Linked DNA regions of Danio rerio. The protein of the gene in region 1 purifies or fractionates together with the protein of each later gene. This does not show direct contact. Links are inferred from orthologs where the notes say so. Each region holds a gene or a part of one and is shown on either strand. Other genes may lie near its edges.

Evidence for each region. Proteins that work in one complex are often made in the same cells at the same time.
Region 2: the proteins of kcnq1.1 (region 1) and nedd4l purify together in Homo sapiens (affinity purification with western blotting, with the first as the bait; 3 studies listed by BioGRID). This does not show direct contact. The link is inferred for Danio rerio from reciprocal best matches to the Homo sapiens genes KCNQ1 and NEDD4L.

Annotation. Positions count from the first base shown.
Region 1 is NC_133182.1:50,423,133-50,433,484, forward strand, and holds part of kcnq1.1 (potassium voltage-gated channel subfamily KQT member 1.1), read left to right. Parts: intron 1-6,062; coding exon 6,063-6,189; intron 6,190-6,299; coding exon 6,300-6,378; intron 6,379-7,604; coding exon 7,605-7,701; intron 7,702-10,352. UniProt on the Homo sapiens protein: Pore-forming subunit of the voltage-gated potassium (Kv) channel involved in the regulation of cardiomyocyte excitability and important in normal development and functions of myocardium, inner ear, stomach and colon.
Region 2 is NC_133196.1:12,256,476-12,266,827, forward strand, and holds part of nedd4l (E3 ubiquitin-protein ligase NEDD4-like), read right to left. Parts: intron 9,153-10,352; coding exon 9,079-9,152; intron 8,987-9,078; coding exon 8,926-8,986; intron 8,798-8,925; coding exon 8,738-8,797; intron 7,153-8,737; coding exon 7,045-7,152; intron 4,778-7,044; coding exon 4,681-4,777; intron 3,667-4,680; coding exon 3,594-3,666; intron 857-3,593; coding exon 754-856; 3' UTR 1-753. UniProt on the Homo sapiens protein: E3 ubiquitin-protein ligase that mediates the polyubiquitination of lysine and cysteine residues on target proteins and is thereby implicated in the regulation of various signaling pathways including autophagy, innate immunity or DNA repair.

The sequences.
Region 1 (10,352 bases):
CTGTTTGGTTGGGGTTAGGGTTGCTTATTGTAAAGTTATATGTACTTGTAAAGTTTCTTATAGTCAGTTAAATGTCTGTTGAAGGAGCATATCAACAGATATTATGCTGAAAGTCTACTAATACACAAATGAACCATCAAAATAAATTGTTACCAAATGAGCTGAAATAAACACAACTCTTAAGCGTTTTGGAGGACGACTTCATTAATTTATGTTCAATCAACTTAAATTTGTAAAAACTTGTTAGTGAACTTAATTCCTTCATGTTGTCCCAAAACAAATTGATTGTGTGGAACCCAGCAGTTTTTACAGTGGTGTGTTTGGACGGGCGTAAAACTTTTTAGTGTGTTCTACATTTCAGTTGACCAAACAAGGAAAGATGCTTATGTTGTGTGTACGATAGAACGGATGCAAAGGAGAAGATGCAAAGGAGAACCAGCTAAATAATAATTAAGTTGTAATATTGTAGTCACTTTTACTTTTAATTCATGTAGCTACATCTGTACTGTATCTGTTTTTGTTTTTAGTGTTTATTTAATTTAATCTTACTTATTTATTTTTATTTTTATTTTTAATTTATTTGGCAATGACATGTTCAACTTGAGGATTTAAATATACTTAAACTTAAGGCAATAAACAAAAATATTGTGCAAATGCCATTTCCTAACATCTCTTTTGGACATTTGTATTTTTTTTTTGCTTCAAAATTCTATAAATGTTAACATTTTTTTAATTATTTTTTTTCTGGAGTCTGTTCTAATGGTCTAATTTTATTTTAGTAATCAAAAATCATGTCCGTTCAATGTAAATGATGCAACATTTTCAATTTAGCAGCTATTTATTAAGAATTCAATTTTTTAAATCTATTTAATTGTATTTTGTTTTACTAAAACTTTAGAAATATTTCCTTTTTAAAAAATCTGTCTTGGAATAGTTTGTTCACACTTAATTTTAATGTACAATTCGTACTAGTAACACACCATTAGCTAAAATGTTTTTAATAATAAACTCAACAAACTACTAATTTTCTGCTTAATAATAGTTAGTAAAATGATACTTGCGTTTAGGTATTGGGTAGGATTAGAAAGGTAAATAAAATCATACTTTATAAGTGCTAATAAACAGTTAATAACTTAATAATAGTCAGGGGATAAGCCTGTAGTAAATGGTGTGAACTGTTACTTAAACTAAAGTGCTTCCAAAAGTTTTTATTTATATAGTTTGGTGTTACTTTGAGAACTACATTTTAACAGATATTAATAAGCCACAGTTCATCAAGTTAAACTAAACTTTTGTTCTGATGGGTTGTCACAGAGATGTTTGCTGATGAAGTGAGCCTCAGATCAGCTCTGACGAAGTTCAAGTGTTCATATCCTCAAATAATAAGACAGAGATTAAAAACTTGAGTCTTCAGTTGATCTTCTTATGCGTTCCAAAGAAGAAAGAAGCTCAAACCGGTTTGTGACAAGTCAAGGGTGAGAAAATGATGACAGAATTGTCATTTCTGAGTGAAATATCCCTTTAATACTTTTGGTGACATCTGTATGATTCACTTTTAGTATTACATATTCTGATTGGATTAGGGTCCTTTAGTTTAGTCCTTTAGTTCATGAAAAATGTATTGACTTTATGAGCTATGAAGATATTTCATCAGTTTATTAAAATTTTACAGAAATGGCAGGATGGTTTTACAGAAAAATTCAAACAAATATGATCCCTAACCCTTCTCGGATAAACAAAATAAAATTACAATTACACACACAAAAAAAGACAAATAAATAAATTTAAATTTTAAAAGCGTAGTTAGTGTCAGTTATGTACACTGTAAAACCCAACAGTCAACTTTATCAAATGAAATGACTGTAGTTAACTCAAAACTTGCTGAATGGTAATTATACTCATTTGAAAAGAGTTTTGAACTTTTAATTAAATACCTCATTACTTCAAGTTAAATGGAGTAAGTTCACAGTACTCATCATAGATTAGTTTTTTAACTCAGATGGTTTGTTGCAATCATTTTCCTCAAACGGTTTAAGTTGTCTTAACTTATTGAGTTTTACAGTACTTAGTTGGTTTGAGTTCTCTTCATTTGTTGGGTTTTACTGTGCTCAAATTGCTTCATTTACTCAAATGGATTAAGTTAACAGTACTCATTAGGATTAGTTTATAAACCTAAATGGTTTGTTGCAATCAGTTTCACTCAAACGGTTTGAGTTACTTAAACTTTTTGGGTTTTTATTCATTAATTTTCTTGTCGGCTTAGTCCCTTTATTAATCTGGGGTCGCCACAGTGGAATAAACCTCCAACTTATCCAGCAAGTTTTTACGCAGCGGATGCCCTTCCAGCCGCAACCCATCTCTGGGAAACATCCACACATACACAGACACACACACTCATACACTACGAACAATTTAGCCAACCAAATTTACCTGTACCGCATGTCTTTAGACTGTGGGGGAAACCGGAGTACCCGGAGGAAACCCACACGAACGCAGAGAGAACATGCAAACTCCACACAGAAACGGCAAATGGGGGGTAGGGGGGTTTACAGTGTATGACATATATATTGGATCACTTACATTTGGAAATAACCTTGTGATTGTATTATATTATATTATATTATATTATATTATATTATATTATATTATATTATATAACCCTTTAATTGTAATTTTATTGTTGTTGTAACACATGTACATCAACAATATAAAATTATAAACTTAATCCACAGATACTTACAATATACTTAATTAAATTCACTCTGCAATTAAAAGGCTGTAGAATACATTTTCATTTTTATGATGGAAATCTATGGGTTGGTCCATGTTTGCACATTACAGGGTCTTATTGGAAACTATTTGTATTGTCATATTTATTTACAGCATAAGAAATAGTGATGAGTCTAGTAGCAGGTTTTTGTGCTTTTCTGAAATATTCCTACACATAAACTGCATTTGACTTTGTAAACAGCGAGATGGCCTACTTTCAGTCAAGCTGCGCACAGTCTCTCCTCTGCTGGTTCCACTCAATTTTCTGTCACTATGTGTTTTACCCCTTCATGTTTTGCCTGTTCCCACAGGCTAGGGCTGTGCCTGTAATTTTCATTGAATTTTCAGAGAAGATTTAGGCGGGCTAGGCAAGCGAACTCATCCGGCCCCGTGCCAGAAAGCGTCCCCAGGCAGCTGACCAAGCTCCTTCAGACCCACATGCAGCTCTCCAGACTGCTTATGTGACAGTGGGCTTCACGGCCAGCCTCATAACTCATACATGTCTGGTTTCTCGCAGCTCTCAAAGGGCCTGCGCTCAGCAGACTCGCAGCCTTCCTTTGTTTTCGCTTCTTTAAGAAGCAGACGAGGGCAACTGCTGTTGTTGGCCATGACCATGAACCAGCCGTCCCATGTTTTCACACAACCCTGTGCTGATACTGTGAGGTCTAAATACGCATCTGTTACAAGCATGCCATGTATATTAAGGTTGTTTGCTTTATGCTATGCAAACTACAATCCATGCATGACTAAAATATTTGGTATATTTAAAACACTTATTCCAGTTCATTAAGAGATTAGTGATGCAAAAGCATATCAGTGTTACTGTATTCTTTTTTAAGCCAGGTGTTTAAATTAATGGTTTTGAATAGATCAGCATAAAAATGTCCTATATTTTACACATTTGCAAAAGTAGCGTTTCGTAATAAAGGATGACTGAAGCACTAGTTCTGTCACAAAAGACACACTATTAGCTATACACATTATACAATATCTTTTGCACTATGCACTGAATCTTCTAGTGTATGAATTTAATAAGAGTTTTTATTTATATATATATATATATATATATATATATATATATATATATATATATATATATATATATATATATATATATCGATTGTAAATATTTAGAAAGAAAAAACAAGGTCTGAAATGTCAAAAGCAGGTAACATTTTTACAATTTGTAAAATATTTTGGTATGTAAAGGTATGTAAATCATGTGAAGGTGTGTAAAGCATAATTGTCCGGAATTTTGCAGCGAGCTATAAACACAAACACATTTGTACAAACATTATAAATTAAATTCAATTCAGTTCAATTAAAACAAAATAAATACAGATACATTAGAGCCAGAAGTGTTTTTAAATCATGAACCATATAGAGTAGGTGCCGTTCAAAAGGTGTGCAGTCTAAATCGTCTGCCTAAGGGTAAAGATGTGAAAAGATGTCTAGCTGAATGTGTCGAATCTCTAAGTATTGTCAAGCCTTTTTTCCTGCAAATGCATGACATAAATTTCATCCATAGAAGGCGGATCATGGCCTATAATTTTTGAGTCAGTTTGCACTGTATTATAGACATGACTTTTTTGTTGACCTGCTAAACCACACGGTTATTGAAAAAGTCAGCACACTTTCAATCATTGCTCAAAAACCTGACCATACCAGTTGTAGATACTCCAAATGTTTTGAGCTGCCTTATGAAATGCCATCTTTGAGGCTTTTTTAGCGTGGGATTATCCTGCCACTTTAAAGATGCAGATATTGTGGTTTGGAGAAGCTTAAGACATATTTTTAGGGACATTGTTATTCAAAATAAGGGCGTAACATAATTTTTACTTCCTCTAAAACAGAATTTTCTTTGTTTTAAGAGCATTTAATATACAGCAGGGAAAATAAGTATTGAACACATCACCATTTTTCTCAGAAAACATATTTCTAAAGGTGCTGTTGACTTGAAATGTTCCCTGGATGTTGGTAAAAAACAAAGAAATCCATATAAGCAAAAGAAAAAAATCTAATTAGTTTACAAATGAAGTTATGCATAATAAAATTAAATGACAGCGAAAAAGTATTGAACACATGAAGAAAGTGAGGTGTAGAAAGGCACTGAATGCCCAGACAGCAACTGAAATCTCTTTTTAGTTATTTAACAATCCTCTGCCCTTTGTCAATGTAAATTATTATCAGCTGCTTCAGTCCAATATCTACAATTTAAAGATGATGAAGATAACACCAGGGTGGACATTTCAGCAAGACAAAGATCCAAAACACAGCCAAGGAAACTCTCAAATGCTTTCAGAGAAAGAAAATCAAGCTGTAGAATGGCCCAACCAATCACCTGACTTGAATCTAATTGAAAAAAATATATAAGGATCAGATTTGATAGACAAAACCCACAGAACCAAGATTTTTACACTCTGTTGAACAGATACTGTGTTTTGGTTGTTCAGTACTTATTCAGTGTGTCAATCCATTGTTGTAACACACTGTAGTTTTCAGATTTTTTTTTTTGTTTTTTTATGTATATGTGTTTATTGTTTGGGTTTTTACCAAAATCTGGTTCAATCCAATATCATCAGCTTCTTTAGAAATATTATTCATGGAAAAAAACATGACATGTTCAATACTTATTTTCCAAGCTGTACCTTTACGAGTACTACTCCTTTTGATTAATGCAAAATTATCTTCAACAAACTGAAAATATGTAACCGATTCACTTTGTGAAATGCATTCGTGTAAATGGAAAACAGAACCGATGACAATACACAGCCTTGTGGAGCACCAACGCTATTCTTCTGTTCATTTATTCAAAAATCAAAATCTTGTCAACAGAGCGTTCATTATGTGTCTGTTCATGGGATTTCAGCAATAGGTGCACAGCGCACACTGGAGGATTTTGTTCTGGGTATACCTCATAAATATTTCAAAAAGGCAATACTATTCCTCATGAGAAATATCTAGATATCTAGCTGCCGAGCTCTACAATGACAGCCTTTCACATTGCCCACATAATAAAGCTGTGTTATTAAATCCATTCTCAAAGCAGACGTCTCATCGCTCAAATAAATGACCTCTCTATACTTACAGCGCTCTATTATAACACAGCATTTTACATGATGTCAAAGTCGAATCAATTAGTTCTTTATCCTCACACTGTTTTGTTCAAATAAATCTCACGTTATGTCTCACTTACAATAATTTCTCATTGTCACGAGCGCATAATATCACTAATATATGCCTTTAGTGCCCTTTTGTGTAAGCACAATGTGTCTGTCTCTTTCATTCTGCAGGAATTAGTGCTGGTAATGTTCTTTGGTGTGGAGTACGTGGTCCGTCTGTGGTCAGCTGGATGCCGGAGTAAATATGTGGGAATTCTGGGCAGGCTTCGCTTTGCCCGAAAGCCAATTTCTGTTATTGGTGAGTGTCTACAATGAAATCACTTTCACTTTTTGGGATGTGTTTACAAAGCCTAACTAGATTGTGTTGTTACTATGGACGTGTTTACATTTCTTTTGTTTTTGTTCTAGACCTGATTGTGGTGGTGGCTTCTATTATAGTATTGGCATTTGGCTCTAATGGCCAGGTATTTGCTACCTCTGCTGTCAGGTAAGGTTAATATAACAAATAAGTCACTGTGGTCTCTTTATACATTGTGGTACTGTGTTAATCAGGCCCTGTTTACACCTGGTATAAAATGGGTTTTGATCTTTTTGATCAAAAATAGATGGAGTCACATTCTCAGTTATACCTGGTACTAAATCTCTGTTGTGCCCTTTTAGACCTTTCTGTTTACCTTTTTTTTTAACTTTAAATCTACGTTTCGCAAGTTTAACTACTGTCTGTCTAGTCTGCCAAATCAGTTCAGTATAGAGTTTTTGATTTTACAGGTGGTGTGAAATTAAAGTATTTAATTGTGATGCTGTGTTCACACCAGACGTGGATAAAGCAGCAAGTGTGATTGATTTACATGTTAAGTCAATCCAAAGACAAGAATAGACATCCTGCGTCGTGTTTCGCATGACTGAGGTGGCACGAACGACGTGTTTTTTGCGAACTGCTTGAGTTGGAAAATCTGATTTGAGGGGACAGTTGCGCTGCGTTAACCAATCAGGAGCTTGCTTTTATAGGGGCATGATTATGATGTAGTACCTGTTGTTGGTGTCCTATGGGGAAATCCTGTTTCTGACACCAGATAACAGCTCATCAAACTGGGCTTGGCTCAGTCTAAAGCACTGCTAAAAGACTCCATCATCCAGGTGTAGTTTCTGGAGGAGATGATGAACTCACAGAGCTGGGTGCACCTCTGAAAGGATCTAGTGGACTTAGGCACAGCGCAGAACAAATATATGCTGTTTTTCAGCATTCCTAAAGCACATAAAGCAGAGTTAATATCTCAATAAAATCCTTGTTAGCCATTTAGCAACGAAGCTAGAGTCACTGTGCAGAAAGATGCCTTGCCCATGACACAAATCTGCAAATTAAGAACTGCTTTTTTTCTAGCTGAAATAAAACAAATAAGACTTTCTCTAGAAGATAAAATATTATCAGACATACTGTGAAAATATCCTTGCTCTGTTAAACATATTTTAAAAAGAAAAAAATTAAAAGGGGGGCTATTAATTCTGACTTCAACTGTACATAGTAATCCATTGGCGACCAGATCACTCTTTTTTTTTATTTTTATGTATGTCAATTCTATCGGATATATTAAAGTGCAAAAAACTACTCTTCTGAATTTAAACCATTGCTTACTATGTTTATTGTTAATACTATGTGCAAAAATTAAAGTGATTCTCTTGCACTGTTGTAAGTCTTGCTGATATTGTTTACAGAGGAGTCCGCTTCCTTCAAATTCTGCGAATGCTGCATGTGGATCGACAAGGTGGAACATGGCGGTTGCTTGGATCAGTAGTGTTTATACATCGACAGGTGAAGACGATGTGTTTTGGATTTGTAATTCATTACAGTGCACTACATTCTTAATAATAATAGGCAGGGCTGGACTGGGGCAAAAAATCGGCCCTGGCATTTTGGGCCACAGTGGCCCACTACATTCAATCAAAATGCTATCTATCTATGCACGTCCAGTATTTTAATCAAATCATATTTTATAAAACACAAAAGCCATATATATGAAATAAATAAATACAAACTTTAATCTCAATTTCATTTCTGTATACTGTCCATGAAGATATTTGTTGAGTTCTAAAAAATACACTATTCAATCATTTTTCTTCGCATATGTCCCTTATTTATCAGGGGGTTGCCGCAGTGGAATGAACTGCCAACTATTCCAGCATGTTTTATGCAGCAGATGCATTTCCAGCCCCAACCCAATATTGGAAATCACCCATACACACTCATTCACACACACTCATACACTACGGCCAATTTAGCTTATTCAATACACTATTCACTCAACCTATATTCAATAATAAACATAACAAAAACTGCCTGCTGATGCATGGGTAAATCTTCAAAGGGAACAGTGTTACATTTTATCCTCTTTCACCTCATCCTGCTTGCTGTTTCACTATCTAAACAATGAAGACATAATATAAGTCAAATTTGTTTCATTTTGATATTGTGATTAACAGACACTAAACAGCCTCGTGTAGCTGCATACTTATATGAGCGTCATCTTCACTCTGCATATTTATTTATTTATTATTAGTGTGTGGTCACGTGATTTGCGTTTTTAGCCGTGACTAGAATGACCGGAGAACTTTTCAGAACTGCAAAATGAAACGCCGGTGTATTTCCCGCGATTTCTCTGCGCCTCCCTTGCATTTCTTCTCTCTGACTCTCGACTATTTTGACAAATAAACACAGACGACGCACGCTCATACAGAGCCCAAAATAGGAGTTTGTGATTGGGCCATCCCCAATGTCAATACAGAAATGAGCCAATGGGCTGCAGAGTGTCACATGGGCCGACCCGGTCTGTCTGTCCGGGGGGGAAAAAAAGCATCTTTCAGAGAGTCACAGATCACAGCAGCGTCAATTAATAAGGCAGAAAAAAACAATAGGCTGCTAAGCCTTTTATGGGACGATAAGATCATAAGACGATGATCAGCCCGGCCCAAAAAGTACGTCGGCCCACCGGGAAAGTGCCCAGTCTGCCAGATGGCCAGTCCGCCCCTGATAATAGGCTAGTTACAGAATAGGAACTAGGCCTCATGCAAGCCTAGTTCCCAGAGAACTAATCTCCCCCACAGAACATTTCGAGGTTGCATTTGCAGCATCATCAGGAAGTGATGAAAGCCGCACGTTATGCTCCAGTGTGAAAACTCTTCATAATTAAGCATTTATGTCAATAGAGAATTGATTTATTCTTTTCTCATGGAAATGTGTGTTTGCAGTTTATGAAAAGGACCAATTACACTGATCAGCGGTCTGTTTACACTGCAGGGTTTCAGTTAGAATTCACACTCTTTCAATGGCAAGTTATTACCAAATTCTGGGTCAAATATTTCATACGTGCTTGCTATTTTTTTTGTGTCTTCTTGGAGGTTTGTATTTGTACAAAGTATTGAGATGTCACTGTGTTGTGGTAAAGGATTTAAATTATTAAAGTACCAAATTTAGTCTCAGTGTTTCCTGCACACACTTTTAACCTGGTGGAATCTTTAGCAGTACAACAAAAAAAGGAAGCCCTTTATTTTACAATATATGTACTTGAATTGCACTTGGCTTAGAAGCTGTAAAGATTAGGTTCGGGGTTAGGTTTAGAGTTAGTTACTAGTTATTTTCCAGTTTTTGTGATGACTGTGAAGAAACAGGACTGTAAAATAAAGTGCCATTGTTGATATTTCAGTAAGCATACAGTCTGAATCATATGTCAAATACTGCATAACAGTAAATAATGAGCTGTCCTTGTGGGCTCAGCCTAAAAAAATGTACCACATGTATTAAAGTTTATTGAGAAATGACTCTTATGAGCCATTTCAAATGAAGCAAAAATATAGCAGTGAAGCCCTATTCTCTTTTATGTCTAGACTTTAAATAATTCAGAGTGTATCTGCAAAAGCAATATCCCATATTTTAGACCATAGGCAAAGATAGCATTTCATGATGAAGCTTGACTGAGTCACTATTCTCCCAAAAATATGCACTATATACTGTCAGGTCCAAAAATATTGGAACATCAACACAATTTCAATACACCAACACAATTGATCTGTACTGAAATGAACAAGATGTGCTTTAACTGCAGACTATCAGCTTTAATTTGAGGGTATATACATCCAAATCGGGTGAACAGTGTAGGAATTACAACAGTTTGCATATGTGCTTCCCACTTGTTAAGGGACCAAAAGTAATGGGAGAGAATAATAATCATAAATCAAAGTTTCACTTTTTAATACTTGGTTGCAAATCTTTTGCAGTCAATTGCAGCCTATATACCCTCAAATTAAAGCTGACAGTTTGCAGTTAAAGCACTTCTTGTTCGTTCCATTTTAAATCCATTGTGTTCGTGTATAGAGCCACAAATGTTTGAATTGTGCTGATGTCCCAATATTTTTGGACCTAACTGTACATTAGTATTACACTATGCTCTTAACTGTCCAGAGTATGAA
Region 2 (10,352 bases), on another chromosome or scaffold:
TTTTGTTTTTTTACCCACGATGATATGAATTTTGAATATAGCCAGGCCACTGATGCATTTCTGATAATGTTGTCGTTTAAAATAGTAAACCACATTGTTGGTACAAATATCCGTTTACTCTGTAAGATAATTATAATAACAGCGAGAATAATAAACTATTAAAAACAACTGCTTGCTTCTTGGCATTGCGAAAGACGATAAAAAAATAATCCTCGACCAAGGAAGGAAGGAAACTTGGCGTATTTTGTGGGATAAGGGAGGATGAGGATTGGGACCTTCATCCTGGCTGTCATTCCTAAGGTAATCTGGTGTTAGTTAAACCTGATAAAAGAGTTCGTTGTTGCCACTTTGCTGAACGTAATGCAAAAAAGGGTGGTTTTTAATGCTGGATCAAGGCCACACCCATTCTGAGGCCACACCCACTGGGGGCTTCAAATACTGGAGTTTAGAATCCATAGCTGAATTTAAAAATAAAACATGTCAGGAAAGATTGTGATTTTGTCAGGAAAGATCTTGACGTACTGCAGGACTGTTTGTTTGACAGGGTTGACAGCTAATGCCGTTCCAGCTAGACAGATACATGCATATACTGCTGACATCACACACACCTGCGGCTGCTGCAATCTGGCTGTACAATGGCAACTCGAGAAAGAGAGAGTGTGTATGTGAGTTTAGATATGTGTGTGTTGTACATGTCTTTGCTCGTCGGTTGCATTAGGAGATCAGGTGTATAAAACAGGGGAGGGGGGTTCTTTAGTCGACGCCCTCAAAGCCTTGAGCGTTTTCCACCGCCATCAGAAGCTTCTCTCGCAGGTCTTCAAACGTTTCATACATTGGGAGGTCCAAGCGATTAAAGCTGAATGGGGAGAAAATGGAATTGTTCAAAAACGCATTCAGCGCATTAGCAGTAGTAAATCTGTGAAAGCCAGCATGGAATAACAAATACGAAATGTATTATGTATGTACAATTTGTAATGAAATATTGTGAGAAAAAAAAGGTTTTTATCTAACAATTAAAATATAATATTTTACAATTCTGATTTATAAAATTTGTATTAAACGTATTAAAGTAAAATTTTTAAACTTTTTTTTCTAACTTAACTCTTTTTCTGACTTCTAAAAACGCAAATATTTTTTTCTGACTTCTAAAAACGCTAATGTTTTTTTTTTCTGATATCTAAAAATGTGAATTTCTTTTCTGACTTAACTCTTTCTGATTCTAAAAATGAAAAAAAAAAAAAATTCTGACTTCTAAAAATGTGACTTTTTTTTTTTTTTTTAAACTTGGCTATTTCATGACTTCTAAAATTTTAACTTTTCTTTCCGACTTCTTGTAAGTATTTTTTCTGACTTCTAAAAATGTGAACTGTTGGTTTTGCCAATTTCAGACTGCATGATTTTCGAAGTAGTCGTGTCACAGATGTTTTCACACTGCATGACTATCTGGGCTAGCTTTTCGTCGCTGCTTTGTTTACACTGCAAGATGGATCAGCGACAGGGACATTCACATTGTATGACTTTACTATAGGAAGAATCGCTGACAACTTCATCCAAACTATGTCTCACAGCCAAAAACACGTAGTATATCTTTTGTTATTAACTACATAATGAGAAAGAAGCCTTTAATGGGGTTGAACATGTACATGTTTGCTCACCTGGGTTTAAAGGGAATTAGCCATTTCTCCTCAACATTGACAATAAACTAATTTCTTTCTGTATGAAACGTCAAACAGACACAGTTGCTCCTGAGTCCTGTTAAACCTCCACTAGTTTTTCCTCCATTTCATGGGTCCAAATAAACCGAAAAAGAGCGCTTTTAACTTCTCCCCCAGCCTCCCGCTAGCCTTCAGCAGGTATACACACACACACACACAAGTGAATGCTGCTCTCTCATTGGCTGTAGGCGATGGCTGATGTTATTTTCAGTCAAAACTCAATTCACACGGCATGATTTGAATCGCCGACAGCTCCAGATATTTAGCATGCCAAATATCTCACAGGCATCGGCGACTCATCTGCGATTCTCTCAGATCGCGTCTTTGAAAGTTCATACTGTGTGATTGTCACTCACGTGCACGAGCAGCGATTTGCCTGTGATTTCAGGCATTTGTCGGCGATTTCTCAAAACCTGTCGGCGAGCCAAAATCGGGGCTAAAATCACGCAGTCTGAACTAGGCATTACACTTTATTTTGATGGTTCATTTAATGAATTAAGTTACATTGCATACATGCCAACTAATTCTCATTAAATTATAAGTAGACTGTTAAGTTGGGGTTAGGGTTAGCCTAGGTTGACATGTACATGCAAAGTTTCTTATAGTCAGTTAATATCTGTTGAAGGAGCAGTAACACAAAATAAAGTGTTACCGAATGTTTTTTTCTGACTTAAAAATTTTAACTTATCTTTTGACTTTTTCTGACCTCTTAATGTGAATTTTTTTCTGACTTTTAAAAATGTTCACTTTTTCAAAAACTTTTGGCTATTTCCTGACTTCTAAAATATTTTTTTTTCCTGACTTCTAAAAATGTGAACTTTATTTCTGACTTCTAAAAATGTGAACTTTATTTCTGACTTCTAAAATGTGAACTTTATTTCTGACTTCTAAAATGTGAACTTTATTTCTGACTTCTAAAATGTGAACTTTATTTCTGACTTCTAAAATGTGAACTTTATTTCTGACTTCTAAAAATGTGAACTTTATTTCTGACTTCTAAAAATGGGAACTTTATTTCTGACTTCTAAAATGTGAACTTTATTTCTGACTTCTAAAAATGTGAACTTTATTTCTGACTTCTAAAAATGTGAACTTTATTTCTGACTTCTAAAAATGTAACTTTTTTCACCAGATTCAATTACTTTTAAAGCACCATTTATTTTTAAATCAAGAACCTTTGTAATTCACATCCGAGCATATGTAGCACCATAAAAGTCCTCACTGCACTTAATTCACATGCAAATAATTTTTTAACCGTTTTAAAAAGTAATTTTGAAAGAACTTTAATAAAATTTGTTGAATTCAATACTGGTTATATTCATCTGCAGTTACAGAAACATTAAGATGTGCATTTTATGTCATTTTTACATTCTGCTTTTGACAATTGAGTCCAGTTCTTGAATAAATCATAAATAAATTTAATTTCAAATTTAATTCAAGCACTGTCAAGGACCTCTATTTTTAAGTACGTCCCAGGCCTTAAATCCATATGTCTGAAATTTAAGTACTTTTAAGTACTTTCAAGAAGCCTGGCAACCTTGTAAAAATGTGAACTTTTTCTGACTTCTAAAAATTTGAACTTTTTTCTGACTTTTTTCTGATCAAATTAAAATCATATCGACAAGATAGAGTATCTATTGTTTCAACTACAAATGCTCTTTTAATAACTTGAGTTTTTACCTTATTTTAAAAATACAAAGTGAAAGATAACTCACAACAGGTTTTTGTTAAATACAGTAGAATATTCTCTTTGTAAATGCGCCAAATAAAAACAATTATTTTAATACTATATAATACATTAAAATCTCCCAGAGAGTTTAAGATAACCTATAATGATGTGTTTACATGAATAAAGTGTTGAAACCCTACAGGTCTTACCAGGTGTGAGCCCGAGGGAGTTTGTCAGGAGTTCCCCACTGCTCAATAGTAAACAACTGCGGCCCATTGGAACCTGCAATAGACCACATGACTTGTCAAGAACCAATTAGAAAAGGGGCAAACTTGTTCTATAGGTCTCAAATGGGAACACCAAGATGCTACAAACAGACCGTCTTCATGATATTGCCAAGGGAAATGACTCTAGTTGCAGTACTAATAGTGATGTTTTCTGAATGATCATTTTAGTTTTCCACAATATACTAGAACATATTTATGCATGTTATAAATGATATATACTTATTAGTCATGTTTTTTGTATACATAGAGCTTTTTTCTGTTATTATATTATAAATTAACAATTTGAGAGAGAGAGAGAGAGAGAGATTTGAATTATTGCCATATCAGCTTCTCTGCCTATTTCATGGCAAAACCAGATCAAATTTACAACCTTTTATCAAATAATAATACAAAATGATTGCAATAAAAAGACATCAACAGCAATAAATAATACATTAGGTAAAATACACAAATAATAAGAACAATAATATAAAAGATAAAAATGTAAAACAGTTTAAGGTTTGCTTTTGATAAAAAAGTTGTGCAATTTTAAAAGGAATCACTGTTAAAATATTTCATTTAAAGTCTTTCCAGATAAAAACTGTTGTCTGATAACATTAAAAATAGGGCACTCCACAAAGTATATGTTTAACAATTTGCTTTCTGTCGCAATATTGACATTTCGGGGGTTTTAAATGAACAATATAGCACAGGTGTGACCCTGGACCATAAATGAAGATATTTTGTTCATTTCCTATTGTAAATATACTGAAACTTAATTTTTAGTTAGTAATATGCTTTGCTATCAACTTCATTTAGACAATTTTAAAGGGGATTTTCTCTTTTATTTTAAGCCTCAGATTCCGGATTTTCAAGCAGATGTATCTTAACAAACCATACATCATTAATGAATTGAGATTTTGACAATATCTGAAAACATTTTTGATGTTTGAAAATAACTGGAATATATGACATATTAGCCAGGGCATATCTACTATACATATATGTGGCAGTGTATGTAGAGTTTTACCGTAGAGTTCAGCAAAGCCGTTCATTGGCACTCTGGATGTTCCAGTGACAAACTGTAGAAGCCTGATGCGCTTTTCTGCATCCATTAACAACACAGCCTAATGGAGACCATAAGAGAAATACAGTTATACCACTAACTAGCAGTCAATGAGCTTAAAATTATTACATAGACAAAACAGTGTTGGAACTTTTGAAGAAATACATACAGTAGATTCACGTTTAAATAACCATCAATAAAAAAAATCATTGACATAAAGCTTTCTACTTAATGTACTCAAAACAGCCACAATACACATGCACTGCATTTAGATAAACATTCTCGAGTGTCAATATAAAAACCTTCATATTCTATTGTAAAATGTATTTATTACTTCTATAGCACTTTTACCATGTAGATTGCAGCTTAACATATATATTACTTGACAAATGTCTTGTCGCCTACCCAAGTTTTTGGAACAAAAAACAATAACTTGACTTGTAGTTGATCATTTGGTATTAGAAGTGGCTTCTATTAAAGACATAGGCCTCTAGTATTAGTGTTAATATTGTGTATGACTCCCATGAGCTTGGACGGCTGCATCCATACATCTCTGCAATGACTCAAATCACTTATTAATAAAGTCATCTGGAATGACAAAAGTGTTCTTGCAGGACTCCCAGAGTTCATAAAGATTCTTTGGAATCATCTTCAATGCCTCCATCTTACCCCAGACATGCTCAGTAATGTTCATGTCTGGTGACTGGGCTGGCCAATCCTGGAGCATCTTAACCTTTTTTCTTTCAGGAACTTTGATGTGGAGGCTGAAATATGAGGAGCAGCGCTATCCTGCTGAAGAATTTGCCCTCTCCTGTGGTTTGTAATGTAATGGCAGCACAAATGTCTTGATACCTCAGGCTGTTAATGTTGCCATCCACTCTGCAGATATCTCACATGCCCCAACACTGAATGTAATCCCAAACCATGAATTTTCCTTCACCAAACTTTCACCAAACTGTGAGAATCTTAGGTCCATGCAGGCTCCAATAGGTCTTCTGCAGTATTTGTGATTCATCAGAAAAATCGACCTTCTGCTACTTTTCCAAGGGATCAACTAGAAGGTATTTGTTGCTCTTACAACTGGGATTAACTTTTGTTAGGTAGTGTATATGGAGAAAAGTGTCAAATCCTAAATATTTCAAATTGTGGAACATTCTAGCAATTCAGGAGCGCAAACAAGTAGTGTGAACTAAAATTCAGGAAAAAAAAAAAAAAAAAAACGCTGAATCATTTTTGCTACTTTTATGCCCTATTTTTAATTAGAGAGGACTTGAATTCATGAAGATAAGATTGGAAAAAGTTAGATTTTGTTGGAATTTTGGATCAACACCTATCTTATGTTAAGAAAAGATCTACATTGAGTGTGATTTAAAGATCCTGTTTTATGTTTTGCATATATAAATGTGCATATATATATATATATATATATATATATATATATATATATATATATATATATATGTGGAAAGAGCAGCTCAGGCTTCAGACGCTGATAAGGAGTTGCTAATGCCTCTTTCATCACAGCAAACACTGGATGAGCCTCACATCAAACAGACTTTGATCAGTGCACTGGGCTGGAGGTCACACACACGCACGCACGCATGCATAAGTTGGAATACATTTGATTGAGATCACGTCTCACGAGTTGAGTTTTTCAATACGATACACTGTTTTTTTATGATTTATTTAGTTCATCTAGACTTTATGAAGCACTTTGGCTGTTTATGAACAACTGGTGGTTGTTTATAAATGTATTATGTAATATAGAAAAATTGAAATGTAACATTTTTAAACCTAATGGATTATGTTCCAATGCCTCAAATTAAAAGTAGAGAATTTGGCTATATACAAATCTTAAGGAAAAAAAACATTTTTTGTAATCCTCAATGCATTTCAGTTTGTGATGCATAAAATAAATCATAAAAATCAGAAAATGAAGGAACAAAACTAAAATTTGCGAGTTTACTAAAAATGAAAATTCTGTTATATTTTCCTCACCATTGCCTTTTAACCATTCAGTTTCTTTCTACTGTCAAACACAACCAAAGATATTCTGAAGAAAGCTGGAAACCTGTAACCATTGACTGATAATATATTTAGTCCTTCTATGTAAGTAAATGGTTACCAGTTTCCAAAAATATCTTCTTTTGGGTCTTTCAGAAGAAATTCAAACAGGTTTATAACGATTTATAGGGTGTCAACAGTGACATTATTTATTTTGGGGTGAACTGTCTCTTTATAAATGCGTAATACCATACTAATACAGAATGATTGCGTCTAAACTTATGATGCATACAAAACACACAGATTTTTAACGCTTGTACTTGCCTTCCAGAACCACTGGATGACGGGGTGATTTGGACAGTAGCCGTTCTTATAGACAGTGTGTTGCCTCCAGTCATTGACATCCACATCTCCCAGACCACACATCAACAGCTGGAGAAACAGACAATATTACACACATTAATATTAACTTTACACTCATCATCCTCTAGATCACCCTATATTCCCTACATCCATGCTGAATGTACAGTGCTCAGCATAAATGAGTACACCCCATTTTGAAAATTAATATTTGTATCCATTTTTTGGGAATATGGGTAATATATTTTGGTGCATTTAAACAAAACAGATTTATTAAACAGATATATTTATTAAAATATAATTTTAGTCACCGAACATTCATGCAAAATATTACAAAACAAAATTACAACCCACATTCCGACAAAGGTTTATATATATTTTTAGTTTCTTTTGGTTTTTGCTATTTTTTAAAATGTTATTTAATATTTTTCCCTCACATACAAATTTGAGCTACTTTTTTAACCCTTAACGTAGGTTATTTTGTTAGATTAGCTCCAGATTTGGTATTAGACTGAATAATATATATGCACAAATATAATATTGTAAATCATCTTATAGATAATATTATTTTAAATGAGAGATTTGTGGGGGGTGTACTTATAAAAGCTGAGCACTGTATATTATAATTATTTTTTTAGAAATTTTAATAATCGGTCAATAACTTAAAAGTAAATATTATATTGTCATGCATTAGGAAAGTAATGAACAGAAACTAAATAGTCTTTATGAATTTGTGTTTCTATACCTAAATTTGAGCTAGCACATTCACCCCATTCGCAGAAGTTGTAACATTCAACTATTGATGGCAAGCAAATCTAATAATAATATGAATAATAATAATAATGTGCTGTACAAATGTTATGCCCTTCTTGTGAATTTGGTTTTAAAACTACTACATAACTAAAGAGCTTACACATGCTGGCAGTCTGACCATTAAAAAAATGAAAATAAAGCCCAAAACACAAAGCCCCAATAAAAAAAAAAAAAAAAAAAAATCATTAAAAAACACAGACACACATAAACAACAGAAAAAACCTCCTGAAAAAACTAAACAAAACAGCCCACCCAAAAAAACAACTCCATAAAAACAAAATGCAAAAACAAAAAACAAAACATCTTTCCCATAAAAAACAACTACTCCCTAAAAAGTAAAAACACAAACAAATCACACAAAAATACACCCCCACCCCACCACAAAATAACCCCCAAAACAGCTAAACCAAATACAAAAAACAAACAAAAAAATCCCAAAAAAACAAACACGCAAACAAAAAGGCAGCCCTTCCCCCAATAACCAAACAAACACACGTGTCAAACACTTAAAATGTTGTATATAAATCAGGTATTCCAAAAACAGTTTCACTCTGCTGAAATCATGCAGCAAATACACTGCATTATAAATAATACAGCAGACTCTCTACTGGCTGTCAGACTGAGCCCACAGTATATGGTTTTATCTTTTATCTATTTATTATCTGCTGCAACGATGAAATTAAGTGTGATGTTCACTCCCTGTGCAAACACCAGCTCAGAGAGAAATGCATGAGTGAAGAAATGATTCATTCAACAAAACAGAGACACTTTGATAAGTGTGTTAGCTATAAAGGATTATTTTTTAAAAATAAAAACAGCAGAGTATAATGTGGGAAGCCAATACCTCCAGTTCGTTTTCATCAAAAATCTTTATTAAGTCGATGGGAATGAGTTCAGTGAAGCCCTGTTGAGCAGATATAAGACATGATCATTATATCACACTGGAATGCTGTTATTACTGTTAATCAAACTTCTGCCTCCACCTAGTGGCAACAGCTAGAACTACAGGAAACTGTTTAACTGATCACGTACTTCCAAAAAGGCGTTCATCTGTTTCTGGACCCTGTTCACAAACCTCCACTGAATCACCAGACTGTACAGAGTCACAAAAGGATATTGTTAATAAAACATAATGTATACCATTTGTAGGGTTTTGCATATGGAGCAAGAGAAACAAACACTCACTCGATGTATTCCTTCTTGTTGTCGTTGGTTACAACCATGTCTGATCCGCTTGGCTTCAAATCTACCTGATATGTCTATTAATATAAAAATGCATGGTCAAAATAAATGCATGTACTCAATAGCAGATTCTGAAATATTTAAAATGGCTTAAAACTAATAAAAAGAAACACAGTAATGGTTAAAAGTGATGTTTGAAGAGGAATTTTGCACAGTATGTTTATATGACACATACATTTGATTAAATCATTATATATACATATTTATTTTTGTTCTAAATGTAAAAAAATTATGAATATAAAATAAATAAACTAATATATTAAATATAAAGCTAAACTTGGTTAAATTAACAGACAATAAGCAAGCAAATAAAGGCAATCTACAGTTAGATTACAGTGCAGTTCATAAAATATGGGACTGGGCAATATTTAAAAAAAAACATACACAAAGTACAAATTGATCACAGTATAATCTCGACTGATCTGGGATAGACTTCAGTAACCTACAGTATTTAATACCAGATAAAAAAAAGTATTGCAGGCCCTTCAGGACAAACTATATTTATTCTCAGAGCCATTTCAGTAAAAAAAAAACAGGCATTCTTTGTTAATAGGCAAAGCAAAATTTGTAATTTTGTGTCACATTTTCACAGGTTCTGCTTTTGAGCACAGAAAGAACTCCGATAATTTCATTATATTTACATGGGTGTGTTGGTATGGCTATCAGTTTGTTTTGTATGTGTATACTGAGTATGTGTGTAAAAGCTACATTTTATTCGAGGTAATTATTTAAAATAATACTTTTATTGTTTCAAAACGTTAAGAAAAAAATGTGATGCATATATAATGCATTAGTAACCAAATACCAACCAAAGAACACCCACCCTATCCCGACAGAGCCATACAAAAACAAACACATGCAAAAATAAATAAATAATAACAGTAATAAAATAATATTTTTGTGTAAAATACATTAAGACAGTTCTGCACATAAACATTCCAAAGAAAATGAAAAATATATTAAAATAAGGTAATTATATTTAGACTGTTAAAAAATGATAATGTGTCATGCAACACTAATAATCTACCTTCGGTATGTGGAATATAATGCAGCTTTAAGTAAATAAATGGTGATTTAAAGGGTTAAATAAAAGATGAGCCAATTTTGGTTGTAAATATAGTTCTGTGAAAGTGCAAACAAATTAAATATGCTACCAATTAAATATGCTTAATTAAAACAATGCTGGGTGTCAATCCCAAACAATCCTTGAGGGTTTT